Linked DNA regions of Macaca mulatta. The protein of the gene in region 1 interacts with the protein of each later gene in a pairwise test. Links are inferred from orthologs where the notes say so. Each region holds a gene or a part of one and is shown on either strand. Other genes may lie near its edges.

The links.
Region 2: the proteins of CCDC57 (region 1) and TMEM100 interact in binary tests that used the Homo sapiens proteins (3 or more experiments, as listed by UniProt). The two-hybrid records come from large-scale screens. The link is inferred for Macaca mulatta from reciprocal best matches to the Homo sapiens genes CCDC57 and TMEM100.
Region 3: the proteins of CCDC57 (region 1) and SFI1 interact in a two-hybrid assay, tested with the Homo sapiens proteins (2 studies listed by BioGRID). The two-hybrid records come from large-scale screens. The link is inferred for Macaca mulatta from reciprocal best matches to the Homo sapiens genes CCDC57 and SFI1.

The regions. Positions count from the first base shown.
Region 1 is NC_133421.1:91,874,157-91,877,716, forward strand, and holds part of CCDC57 (coiled-coil domain-containing protein 57), read right to left. Parts: intron 1,271-3,560; coding exon 1,048-1,270; intron 261-1,047; coding exon 108-260; intron 1-107. UniProt on the Homo sapiens protein: Pleiotropic regulator of centriole duplication, mitosis, and ciliogenesis. Critical interface between centrosome and microtubule-mediated cellular processes. Centriole duplication protein required for recruitment of CEP63, CEP152, and PLK4 to the centrosome.
Region 2 is NC_133421.1:54,258,395-54,262,731, reverse strand, and holds the start of TMEM100 (transmembrane protein 100), read right to left. Parts: upstream 2,801-4,337; 5' UTR 2,681-2,800; intron 1,216-2,680; 5' UTR 1,151-1,215; coding exon 746-1,150; 3' UTR 1-745. UniProt on the Homo sapiens protein: Plays a role during embryonic arterial endothelium differentiation and vascular morphogenesis through the ACVRL1 receptor-dependent signaling pathway upon stimulation by bone morphogenetic proteins, such as GDF2/BMP9 and BMP10.
Region 3 is NC_133415.1:20,005,024-20,009,212, forward strand, and holds the start of SFI1 (protein SFI1 homolog), read right to left. Parts: upstream 2,801-4,189; 5' UTR 2,286-2,800; intron 1-2,285. UniProt on the Homo sapiens protein: Plays a role in the dynamic structure of centrosome-associated contractile fibers via its interaction with CETN2.

The sequences.
Region 1 (3,560 bases):
CTGCAATAGCCTCAAGCTATATATTTGCTGTGACTGGACTTTCTGCAGGGGTCAGATTTCAGTTTATAAAGGGACAGCAAGGAGCCCAGTGAGACGCGGACTCTCACCAGTCGTCTCTGTCGAGGTGCGGACGCTGGGCTGAGACTCGGCACGAGGTGAGGACATCTTTAAAGGATCCAGCACATCTTCTAGATGCTCTTCCAGAGTTTTAAACTTATGCTTTAGAGTTCGTATTTCTGCTTCAAGGGCCAGAACATAATCTGCCAAAAAAAGCCCAGTGAATATAACACACACACACACCCTTTCGCACCGCCCTCCTGTGAGCACCAGCTCAGGGAGCCGATGCCAGCTCGTGCCCGCTGCCTCACTGTGCCTGTCCTCCTGTCCTCCCCGCACGAGAGCTTCACAGCAGTTTCCACACTCTGTGTGTGTGTCAGACTGAAAGACCTTCCCTCCCCTCACTGGCCAGAGTGTGCCAGCCAGAGACCAGCATAGTCTCCATGCTCTCCAGGAAGGGCTCAGCGATCAGGAGCAAATGTTTCACCTGCTGCAGCCCACGTGCCTCTGTGCGAGGGGCCAAGTCCCACCTGGAGAACGGAAGCTCTGCATCCATCCTGGCATCCGCCCACCCACAGCCACTCGTGGGGTTCCCGGGCATCGGGCGCCCTCATCAGCTCTGCCACGGACACTCCTCTGGAGGAAAGGCCTGCGGTCCACCAGCCCCTGCTACCAACCCACTCTGGGACAGCGCGACACCAAGCCAGCCCTGGTTCAGGTCTAAAACAGGTTTTTTAAGTGTGTCAAGCAGGTACCCTCATTTTTTCCTTCTACTTTACAAATATAAAAGCTTTTTGGTATAAAACTGAAGATTCCTTCTCTTGGAGAAAAAGCAGTTTTCATGCTTTGAATTTATTACAGGGGATGTTAACTTACAGGACTCTGAAATGAAGCCTCCTTGAAGCCAGTCGAGACCCATGCTCCCGTCTGTCCTCCTCCCTCCCTCTCCCACTTCCCCTCCCGCTCTGTCCCTTTCTCCCTGTTACTCACCAGGAGTGGCGGTGTCTCCCCCAGCCTTTGGGTCAGGCTGGTTTGCATCTGTGCTCTCTGCCGCTGTCTGGGCGGGAGGAGGAATCTGATGGCTTAGAGCCTCCATTTCTTTCCTCATCTGGGCAATCGCGCTTCGCAAGCTCGTGTTCTGCTCTCGGAGCTGCTGGATCTCACTGGATGGAAAGTCTTTACTTATTTCTTCTTCATGCTGCCCGAGGAGCATCTGTCAAATACAAGGAAAAATGACTACAAAAAGATGAACGGTTCCCCAGCTTGTCCTGGCAGGCTGTGCCTCCGCCCTCCCTGCTGCCCTCTCGGGGCCAGTCCCCTGCTTGAGCTTGGGCTGTGGTCCCTCCCCATCCCCGGGGTTGTGATATCCCTCCTTTCTGGCCTGACAGAGGTGCAAATATGACACTCAAATTCCTGAAGCCTTCCATACTGTTGCGGTCACTAGAGTGTCAAATCCACAGAGGCAGAAAGTGGAATGGGGGTGCTGCGGCTGGGGGTGGGGAGGGGGAGCCCGTGTTTCTCGGGGACAGAGCTTCAGTTTGTGAAGATGAGAACGTTCTGGAAAGGGTGGTGTGATGGCTGCATCTCCGTGTGAATGAGCTTCATGCTGCTGAACGGTGCACCAAAAAATAAAGCGGCCAGCTGTGCGTTATGTACACTTTAGTACAGTCAAACATCCACTGAATAGGATGAACAGCAGGTTCGGAGCACGCAGAAGAAAAGGTAGTGAATATAAACACCAGGCACCAGAAAATACCCAAACTGAAACTCAGATGGAAAGGGGCCAAAGGAGGAAAAATGAGCAGAGCTCTGAGACCAGAAACAAGCTGCACAAGGAACCAGGAGCCCAGACGAACATGAAGGCAGGAGACGCGTCTACAACAAGGCCAAACACATTACAAATGCGATGAAAACCGTACATCACAGATGACGAAGCTCAGTGAAGCCTAAGCAGCATAAACAGAAAGAAAATCATACCAGAGAGCATTGCACAATCAAATTGCTGAAAAATCAGCGACAAAATGGAAACTCTAAAAGCAACCAGAGAAAAGAGACATGTTACACTCGGGCCAAAGGGCAGGCATAGGGATGACAGACCTCACAAGGAGCCACCAAGGTGGGAGGACAACGAGGCGAGGTGGCTCTGGTGCAGGAGGAGAGACAGGCCCCACCCACCCGGTTCTGGGGTGAGGGAGTGTCCTTCTCTAACCAAAGGTGAGGGCACTTCTGCCTCCGACCAGGAGGGACTCGCCGCTATGAGTCTTTCCCTCTGGCTGTGAACAACTAGAACAGCAGCCACATTAGAGGAAACACCTGCTTCCAGACACCAGCACAGACCCCGGATACCGGAGAGGGAAACACAGTCCCAGGGCTCTGGCCCAGCTCAACCATGAGTCCAGCCAAGATGTGTGCAAAAGGCACAGCTTCCTCTTCTGCAGAGCCACCCTGAGGGATGCAGAGCCTGCTCCCTGCTCCGCGCTCCGCGAACACAAGCCTGAAGCAAGACCTGGACCCCTTCCCAGGGTGCTCTGACTCCCTGGCCCACTGGCTCCTCCATGCTCAGCAGCAAGGCCAGCCGGCCTGGGCTCCCAGGAGGAGAGCTTCACACGCCATGCTTAAGAGTGGAGATAATGCAAACAGAACGTGAACCTCAACTGGCAGTTCAGAAACGGAGACAGTAAACTGCCCACCGCAGTGCTGTGATAACACTGGTGAACAACATGAAGGACCATTGGTGAGAAAATTGCTAGGTGCGTTACGGTGTGGCCACTTGATAAAATATGCAGACATTTAGATTCTGTTTGTGAAGAACTGTAATGATATGGGAAAATATTTGCGGTAGAACCAAAATGAAGAAAGAATTCTCCTGGAGAAACAGTCACATGAGCGGCAGACCGCTGAAGGCCGCGCTCGACCTGGCCAGCTACAGACTGGGATACCGAGTGCCCACAGGCTTACCAGGCTCTGTCCTAGGATGCGCTGAGGGTGCTGGCTGCATGGCCTCACCGGCTGAGCATTCCCGCCACAGCGGCAAGCAAGGCTCAGAGGGCTCGGCAGTGTGAAAGGAAAATACCATTAAGCTAAAGGGAAAAGTCAAGCTGGGAACTGCTCAGGGCAAACCTGCCTCCCATTCTATTCAGTCACCCTCTGCTCACTGAGGTGAATGCACATCTCACTGCCTCCTTTGGAGAGGCTCATCAGAAACTCGAACGAATGCAACCATCTGTCTCTTACCTACCTATGACCTGGAAGCCCTCTCCCCACTTCAAGTTGTCCCACCTCTCCAGACGGAACCACTGTTCATCTCACACATGTTGATTGATGACTCACGTCTCCCTACAATGTATAAAACCAAACTGTGCTCTGACCACCTGGGGCACATGTCATCAGGACCTCCTGAGGCTGTGTCAGGGGTGTGCGTCCTCAATCTTTGCAAAATAAACCTTCTAAATTAACTGAGATCTGTCTTAAGATTTTCTGGGTTCACACTTTGGTAACCACAG
Region 2 (4,337 bases), about 38 Mb from region 1:
AAGTATTTATTATTCTGAATGAAATGTACACTTGATTTTTATATAAAAATCATCAAAAGTGCTCTATTGGATTATTTTACTATTAATTTAACCCCCAACAGCATCTATTAGCTAGACCTTTAATGGGTTTTTCTTTACTTCTGACACATCATTACAACTGGCTAAAACTGTCCAATGTTAAAATATAAAAAATATTAGTTTACTCTTCAAGATAAAGTACCACCAGTGATGAGTTATTAAAAGTGAAAAATAAAAACAGATGCCAGTGAATCAATGTATTGCAAAAAATTATCACAGAATTTCATAGATATATGCGAAGCCCAAGGTAATTTAGATCCTTGGCAGAACATTTTTATGGCACATCTTAAGACTGTGGGTTATTTCTTTTGGAGGCAAATGTCTAGTGTGCCAAGCCTATCTTGTTATTTTCTCATCTTTTCTTGGCTACTTTACAGGGTGAACCAAACGCTGTCTAATGCCGTGCACTCCCATGACCCCCAAAATGTTTAATGTAAATAGAAAGCTGATTTTGCAGTCTCAGAAATAGCCCTTAGGATTAAGTTTGTCGTTAAAGAAGACATGAGTCATTCCTCACAAAGGAGAAGCCCCTCCACCCTCCCACCCCTATTCTTCCAGTCTGCTCCAATGCCAAATCTGTTCTCTCCCACCATGGTTCTGGGTGAATTGGGTGACAAAGTCAGAGCAGGTTTTCCAGGCCCAATAGCCCATTTGGTCTTATTCAGTCTCAAGCAAACAAGCTTCTCTGATTTGCCACGAGAGCTGTCTGACTCTCCCGTCTCTTGGCTTTCTTGCTCCTTTGTCTCACTTTCCAGCACAAGGCGCTGGAGGCTAGTAAAAAAAGTCCAGATGACAGAACAACCAGGCCAAAGATGGAGATGACGGAGCCATGGGAATTGAAGCTGTAAGCCACCGCGGTGACCACGATGCCAGCGATGAAGACAACCACAGCGAAGGGGATGATGCAGCGGTAGCAGGAGAGCTCGGTACCCCCTGTAGCAGCCATCAACTGAATCTCACTGACCAGGGGGACTGTGGTGACCACGACTTCACTCTTAGGGCTCTTCTCCATCGTCGCCGCCATGTGAGCCTTTGGGGCTCCCAGGATCTCCTTGATGGGCTCTTCAGTCATTTTTACAACAGTGCTTCTAAGGTGGGTTTGCAGACTAGATCTGGACAGTCTCACCAGGGTGAAAGCTGTGAAGATAACAGGAGATGTCAGCTACATGTATCAGAATGAACCCTGCAAGCAGAAATAAAAAGCTGGGGAGGCACCTCTTTTCCAGGAGGCATAGATCCATGTGAAAAGCAACTTTACTCTTTTTTTGAATTGGTTGCATTTTCTTTGCATTTAGGCAAAAAATAAGATGAAGCAGATGCACGTGAAGGGAAGACAGAAAAAGCAGGAAGCACTTACAGTGTTTAATATACCCTGGCGGTCTACAAATGTTTTACAAGCTTTTCTCCTTTGTCTATTGCTTCTCCTTCCTCTAAACACACAGAAATGCCTGAATCCTAATCCAAAAATGGTTTCATTCAAGAGGAGAATACATTACAAACAATATTTCACACCGTTAATCCCAGAACTTACAGCAACTCAGACTCCACCAATCTTGCTGGGCATAACATGCATTCTTTCCAAACTGTCACCTATTCGCTGCCCACAAAATCAATGTCAAGGCAAGTGGCCAGCAATAAATGATGTTCTTCTCCATTGAATGACAGTCAAAAAATCTTTATTGTGTTACTATTAAACACAGTGCAACCTGCTCCCTGGGATCTTTTTATTAACCATTTTAGGTGCACAGTTCAGCAAAAAATTCATTGACAATGAGGTGGGGATTTGTGATCTGAAATGTAACACTGTCTTCCAATCTGCTATGACAGAGAAAAAATAAGAAAAAAAAATTCAACCCCTTCATAGGATATAATTTTGTGCTTTCTCCTGGCAAAAATAAAATCAATTATTAGAGTAATTAGTTATCAATACACAAATTTTCTATTAAGCTCAACACAAAATTTTGATATTATGTATACTACAACGTGCGGAAACAAATAAGCATGCTAGGTTTTCAGGAAATCTCATTTTCCTCCATGCCCTTGTGTATAAAACTTGCTGCAATGACGCTTTCTAAGTATTTTGAACCTGAACATTTCAGGACAAAGCTTGAGACTTTTGATCAAAAGCATCTGGTTGAAATGCTGTCTATGAGAAATCAGTGAAAACGTGTCTGCTGCCCAGACATGGTTGAGTCACTGTCTTCCATTCTCAAAAAGCCGTCTAGCTGCTACACAGTTGAGCAGTTGTAGTTACTGAACAAGTTTAAAGAAAGATACTTGAGACTGTTTCAATGAGATTAATATTTTGAATATATTAAGCATCCACTGAAAATAAATTCAACTCCAGATCAAACATCACTGGTTCTTCCCTGCTCTGGAAAGTCAAAATATTACTCCCTGAGCAAGGAACTCAATCTTAGAGCTGCCTACTCACATGTCATTTTTAATCACCAAACTAATTAATCACTGTTGTCCAATGACACCCTGACTTCTGGTGAGGCCAGTTAAAAGATACTTGAGATTATGTCCGAAAAAGATATCTTCACCCCAAAGCTGAGATTGAGCTAATCTAAAAATCAAGATCTGTCCCCAAATTACTTACACTCACCTCCGAGAGGCAATCCATTACCAGAGTAACCACTTGACTTGGAAGGGAAGAAACAGCAACGCTTGAGTCTCTTCGTCCAACTTCTGGGAAAGAGCCTCTAACAGCAAGGCTGTCAATAAAATAATAGGTTAGGGATCTCTTCTGGGGAAAAGAAAAGATGTAAAAATACTTTACTATAAGGTCTGGTCTGGTTTGGAATCTCCTGGAGTTCCTGCTGCTTTCAGGCTACCTCTGTTCCTAAATGACGCTTGTCTTTCCCTCCCTCTCTTTTTATTCCCTCCCCCTCCAGTTTGCCCCTCCCTAACATTTTTTTTTTTTTTCCTTCGTTCTTTTCCTTGCCAGCAGATTCTGAGTTTTGGCTTCCCCCAACTTTGCTCAGTGACATGATAAGTCCGAATCATTTCTACAGATACCCCAGAGACAGGAGCCAGCTTTTACTTTTCTTTCTCTTGCAGCATTTACTAAGCGGACTGCTTTGTGAATTTGAATGACTCACTTTTTCCCCTGCCGACCTCCAGATCTTCCTCCCGTCCATCAGGCATTTTTATAAGAAAATCCCAGAGTCAGCGTTGCAGACCCGGCTGAGGGGACAGAGCTGAGGGGACAGACACTCTAGGGCGGCAGAAACAGCTGTGAAGTCATGGGGCAGCTGAATTCAGTCTCTAAGCCAGCAAAAATCCATGTTCCTAGGTTTTCCCATTATTCTTTATTTATATGTGCGTGATAGTCATCTGAAGCTTAAAACCCCACTTGTTCAGTGTTAATTCATTTAGGAATGAGGGTGGGAGGCACAAATGTTTGCGGTTAAGGGGGGAAGGCAGTCACATTGATTTAAACATGATTGTTTACTGCTCTTGCAAGGAGGTAACTTTAGCAGCGCCAAGATTATCATCATCATGATAATTGCTACCATTTATAGAGCACCTACTCTGGACATGGCACAATATTAAGAAATGTCACACATTAACATTAATTCTCACTAGTTCATAAATGAGAAAACAGGCTCAGAGAGGTTAAGGAATTTAACGAAGATCACCCAGTAACAGAGAAACCCTTGGTTTGAACCCTAGTCTTCAATAGATACATATATCATCTGGGGAGATTGTTAAACTTAGATTCTGATTCAGTAAGTCTGTAACAAGCTCCTACCTATGTCAAGACCTCTGTTCCTTGGCCCACTTTAAGGAACAAGGTATTTTAAACATTCAAACATATACAGCTTGACACATCATACGCTCAAACAATAAAGTTAAACATCTATTTCCCACCCCCATAAACCTGTAAGTGGCTTTATAGGTTTATCGTTTCTTACAGACAAACTGTGAACATTTTAAAACCTTGAAATACATAAAGCCCAAGATTGTCTTTTTGAGGAGAAAATACTGGGACCTCATCCTACACTTTGTAGTTAAAAGTTTTTCATCCTCCATTTTCTTCATCTGCACATGTGTTAATAACCCCTTCTAATTAATACTGTGAACCATAAATCCAAATTAACTCTTGGAAGAGATTTGTTTTCTGTCTTTCTGTCAAATTGTTATGTTTCTCTAATTGCTGGCAAAGGGCTTGGATGTTCTCAACATCTTACCTCTCCTTTACCACAGCACGGTCTCTCCAGCCTTGCGTTGTAGCAATACCCTGATGACTTGTC
Region 3 (4,189 bases), on another chromosome or scaffold:
GAATGCCTGTAATCCAAGCTACTTTGGAGGCTGCAACAAGAACGCTCGTACCTGGGAGGTGGAGGTTGCAGTGAGCCAAGATTACACCACTGTACTCCAGCCTGGGCAACAAGAACAAAACTCCATCTCAAAAAAAAAAAAAAAAAAGTCTAAGAAAAACTAAAATTATTAGGTGTTGACTCCCAGTTAAACATGTAGATTGACCTTCTAAGGTGATAGTAAAGAATACAAAGGAACAAACCATAAGGTTAAAGAGATGAGAGAAGAGATTATAGGACACCAGCGATTTCCACAGTTTTACAAGGAAAATGAAGTGGCCTAACAGGTTTGAGGAAATGAAAAACTTTGATTTGAGGATACCAAAGGAAAGCGGGCCACACAGATTTCCAATCCTGTCAGACAGGGTATTCAGGTCCCTTCTGCTGTCCTGCTTCCAACATTCTGGTAGCTAGATGGTACCTTTCAGGCAGGAGACTGGAAAAGTCTTCTCAGAAAACACTAAAAACTAACAGATCTCCAGATTCTGAAACATGTGCTTTACTCTCCATCAATGAAAAAGCAGACTTGTCCCTAGATTACCCTAAAGTGAAGCCCATGAACTCCGCAGTCCTGCTTAGACACTAGGAGCTTCCAGCTAATTTCTCAGTTACACATTTTTTTTTTTTTTTGAGACGGAGTCTCACTTTCTTGCCCAGGCTGGAGTGCGGTGGCTCAATCACGGCTCACTGTAACCTCTGCATCCTGGGTTCAAGCGATTCTTCTGTCTCAGCCTCCTGAGTACCATCACACTTGGCTAATTTTTTTGTATTTTTGGTAGAGGAGGTTTCACCACGTTGGCCAGACTGGTCTTGAACTCCTGACCTCAAGTGATCTGCCCGCCTCAGCCTCCCAAAGTGCTGTGATTACAGGCATGAACCGCTTCCCCTGGCCAGCTTACAACTTTTCTTCTGCAGCTTCCTCATCTCTCCCAGTCCTCACAGAATTGAAGAGAATTAGGGTCTTGCTCAAAATTAGGTTTTGGTTTAAGAAAACATTGTGGCTAGTTTGATCTTCTATCCAGACTACTAAAAGTTTCTCCATATCAGCAATAAGGCTGTTTAGCTTTCTTATCCCTGGTGTGTTCCCTGGAGTAGCACTTTTAATTTGCTTCAACAACTTTTTCTTTATATTCACAACTCGGCTGTTCGGTACAAGAGGCCTAGCTTTCACGTTATTTCAGCTTTTGATGTACCTCCTTCACTAAGCTTAGTCATTTCGAGCTTTTGATATAAAGTGTGACATGAAACCCTTCCTTTCACTTGAACACTTAGGGTTCACTGTGGGGCTATTAATTGGCCTAATTTCAATATTGTTGCCTCTCAGGCTACAAGGAGGACCAAGAGGGAGGAGAGAAACAGGGAACTGGCAGGTAGGTGGGGCAGTCAGACACAACACTTAAGTTTACTGTTTTATACCAGTGAGGTTCATGGCGACCTAAAACAATTGCAATAATAACATCAAAGATCACTGATCACAGATCACTGTAACGGTATACCTGAAATAAAGTTTGAAATATAGCGATAGTTACCAAAGTGTCAGTGATAGGAAGTGGGCACATGCTGCTGAAAAACTAGTTGTTCGGCGCAGGACTACTTGCTACAAACTTTCAATTTGTAAAAAACACAATACCTATTAAGTTCAATAAAGCAAGGTATGGCTGTACTCAAGTCCCTAGCATCATTCATTCAACAAATATTTACAACACATCTACACAGCACTTAGGAAACCTGAACAGCCTCCCATAAAATAAAAACATGCACCCACCTCCCACGCGGGGAAGGCTTCAAGGTTTGTTTACTGCGTTACCCCCTGCGGGCTCGGTGGGGGAAGGTCGCCCATACACCAGCCCTTCCGCTCTCCTGGGCCACTTAGCCGGGAGAAGGAAACCCCTCATTTGGATCCGCGTACGCTAAGAAGCATTGCGTAGACTCGAGCACCGGCCAGGAGCGCACTAGACGCCTGGGAGGATGCGGTGCCCCCGGGGCGCAGGACAAGAAGCCGAGGAGACGCGGTGGGAGAGGATAGCGGGAGAGGATGGCAGGCTCCAGGCCCCGTCCTGCGCCCTCTTGTCGCACTTCCTCCATTCCCGCACCACAGACCCGCAGGTAGGCAACATCACCTGCACTTTTAGGGGAGGAAGCAGAGGCTCGCACAGATTTCACCGGACTCGGAGGGACCCGACTGAGCTCCCTGCCGGAGAGGCCGAGCCCATAAGAGGGTGGGGACGTTAGGATCGGGCCTCGTACCTGGGGAAGCCGAGCCATCGGGCCTGACGCTGGGAGAAAACCCGGCGGGAGAGGGCTGTCCGGGACCTGCTTCGTAACTCCCGCGCGGCCCACGCCAGCCTCAGCGCTTCGCGCGCCTCTAGACGCCAGTCTCGCGCCGGGCCCGCCCTTGTCTCCACGGCGACGCGGCGCGCACTAGGACCACCCCATTCAGACCCCGGGGCTTGCGCAGCCTCAGTCGGGCGGGTGGCGCACGACCGGTCGCTTTTGCAGCAGCCGCAATGAGAGTCGGTTCCGAGGGGCGTGGGAAATGCACCGTCTGGGCATCCCCACTGAGAGTCTTTGGCTCGCTAGCTTAGCTCTGAGCTCAGGTTGCTACTGCTCCTCTTAGACGAGAGAAGTGAGAGGCATTCCGAGGCGGAACCCCGAGTTAACACCGCCCGGGGTCGAGCACTAAGGATGAGGTTCCAGCTGGGAGGTGGCTGCGAACGAAAGTCTTCCTTCCCTCACTTCCGGGCTCGTGCGTGAGCCTCTTTGGCTTTTCGTTCACGGGGAGTGGAAACCGGAACCCGTGGAGTATGACCCGCCCATGCGTGTACCCGGCAGATTGCTACAACTTGCACTTGGAGGGGAGAAGTCCCATGGCCCCCGAATTAGAAATCCCAGGCTTATCTCTTTTTTTAACCCTTCATTTGAAAATGTAATTAATAAGCACTCCTTTTTGTTAAATTTTTTAATTTGGGCCGATCCTAATAAAAACAGGAGTGGGAGGGGTAAGTGGGACTTTTGAAATACTTTTTTACTGTGCTTTGTAAAACGTTTGAAAGCACGTGAGATTCCTGGTGCAGACACTAAAAGCAGTAGTTAAATACTTGAAAGATTTTACGCTAAAAACATGAGGAAAATTAACTTGTTGGGTGTCTCGGGGTTAGAATCACAGATAATTTGTATTTTTGTCCTATTTTCTACATGCTAATTTTTGCAATTAAAACATTTATTATTTATTTATCTATTTATTTTGAGAAGGAGACACCCTCTGTTGTCCAGGCTGCAGTGCAGTGGCACGATCTGGGCTTACTTCCACCTTCACCTCCCGGGTTCAAGCGTTTCTCCTGCCTCAGCCTCCCAGGCGCACGCCACCACGCCCGGCTAATTTTTTTTTTTTTTTTTTTTTAGAGAGACGGGTTTCACCATGTTGGCCAGGTGAGTCTCGAACTCCTGACCTCAAGTGATCCTCCCGCTTCAGCCTCCCAAAGTGCTGGGATTACAGGCGTGAGCTACCGCACCTGGCCCTGAGGCGGATCACTTGAGGTCAGGAGTTCGAGACCAGCTTGGCCAATATGGTGAAACCCCGTCTCTACTAAAAATAAATTTAAAAAAAAAATTAGCCGGCCGTGGTAGTCCCAGCTACTGGGGAGGCTTAGACAGGAGAATCGCTTGAACTCAGGAGGCAGAGGTTGCAGTGGGCTGCGATCGTGCCATTGTACTCCAGCCTGGGCAACAAGAGCAAAACTCTGTCTCAAAAACAAACGGCCGGGCGCGGTGGCTCAAGCCTGTAATCCCAGCACTTTGGGAGGCCGAGACGGGCGAATCACGAGGTCAGGAGATCGAGACCATCCTGGTTAATACGGTGAAACCCCGTCTCTACTGAAAAGTACAAAAAACTAGCCGGGCGAGGTGGCGGGCGCCTGTAGTCCCAGCTACTTGGGAGGCTGAGGCAGGAGAATGGCGTGAACCCGGGAGGCGGAGCTTGCAGTGAGCTGAGATCTGGCCACTGCACTCCGGCCTGGGCGACAGAGCGAGACTCCGTCTCAAAAAATAAAAACAAAAAAACAAAAACAAGGCCGGGCGCGGTGGCTCAAGCCTGTAATCCCAGCACTTTGGGAGGCCGAGACGGGCGGATCACGAGGTCAGGAGATCGAGAC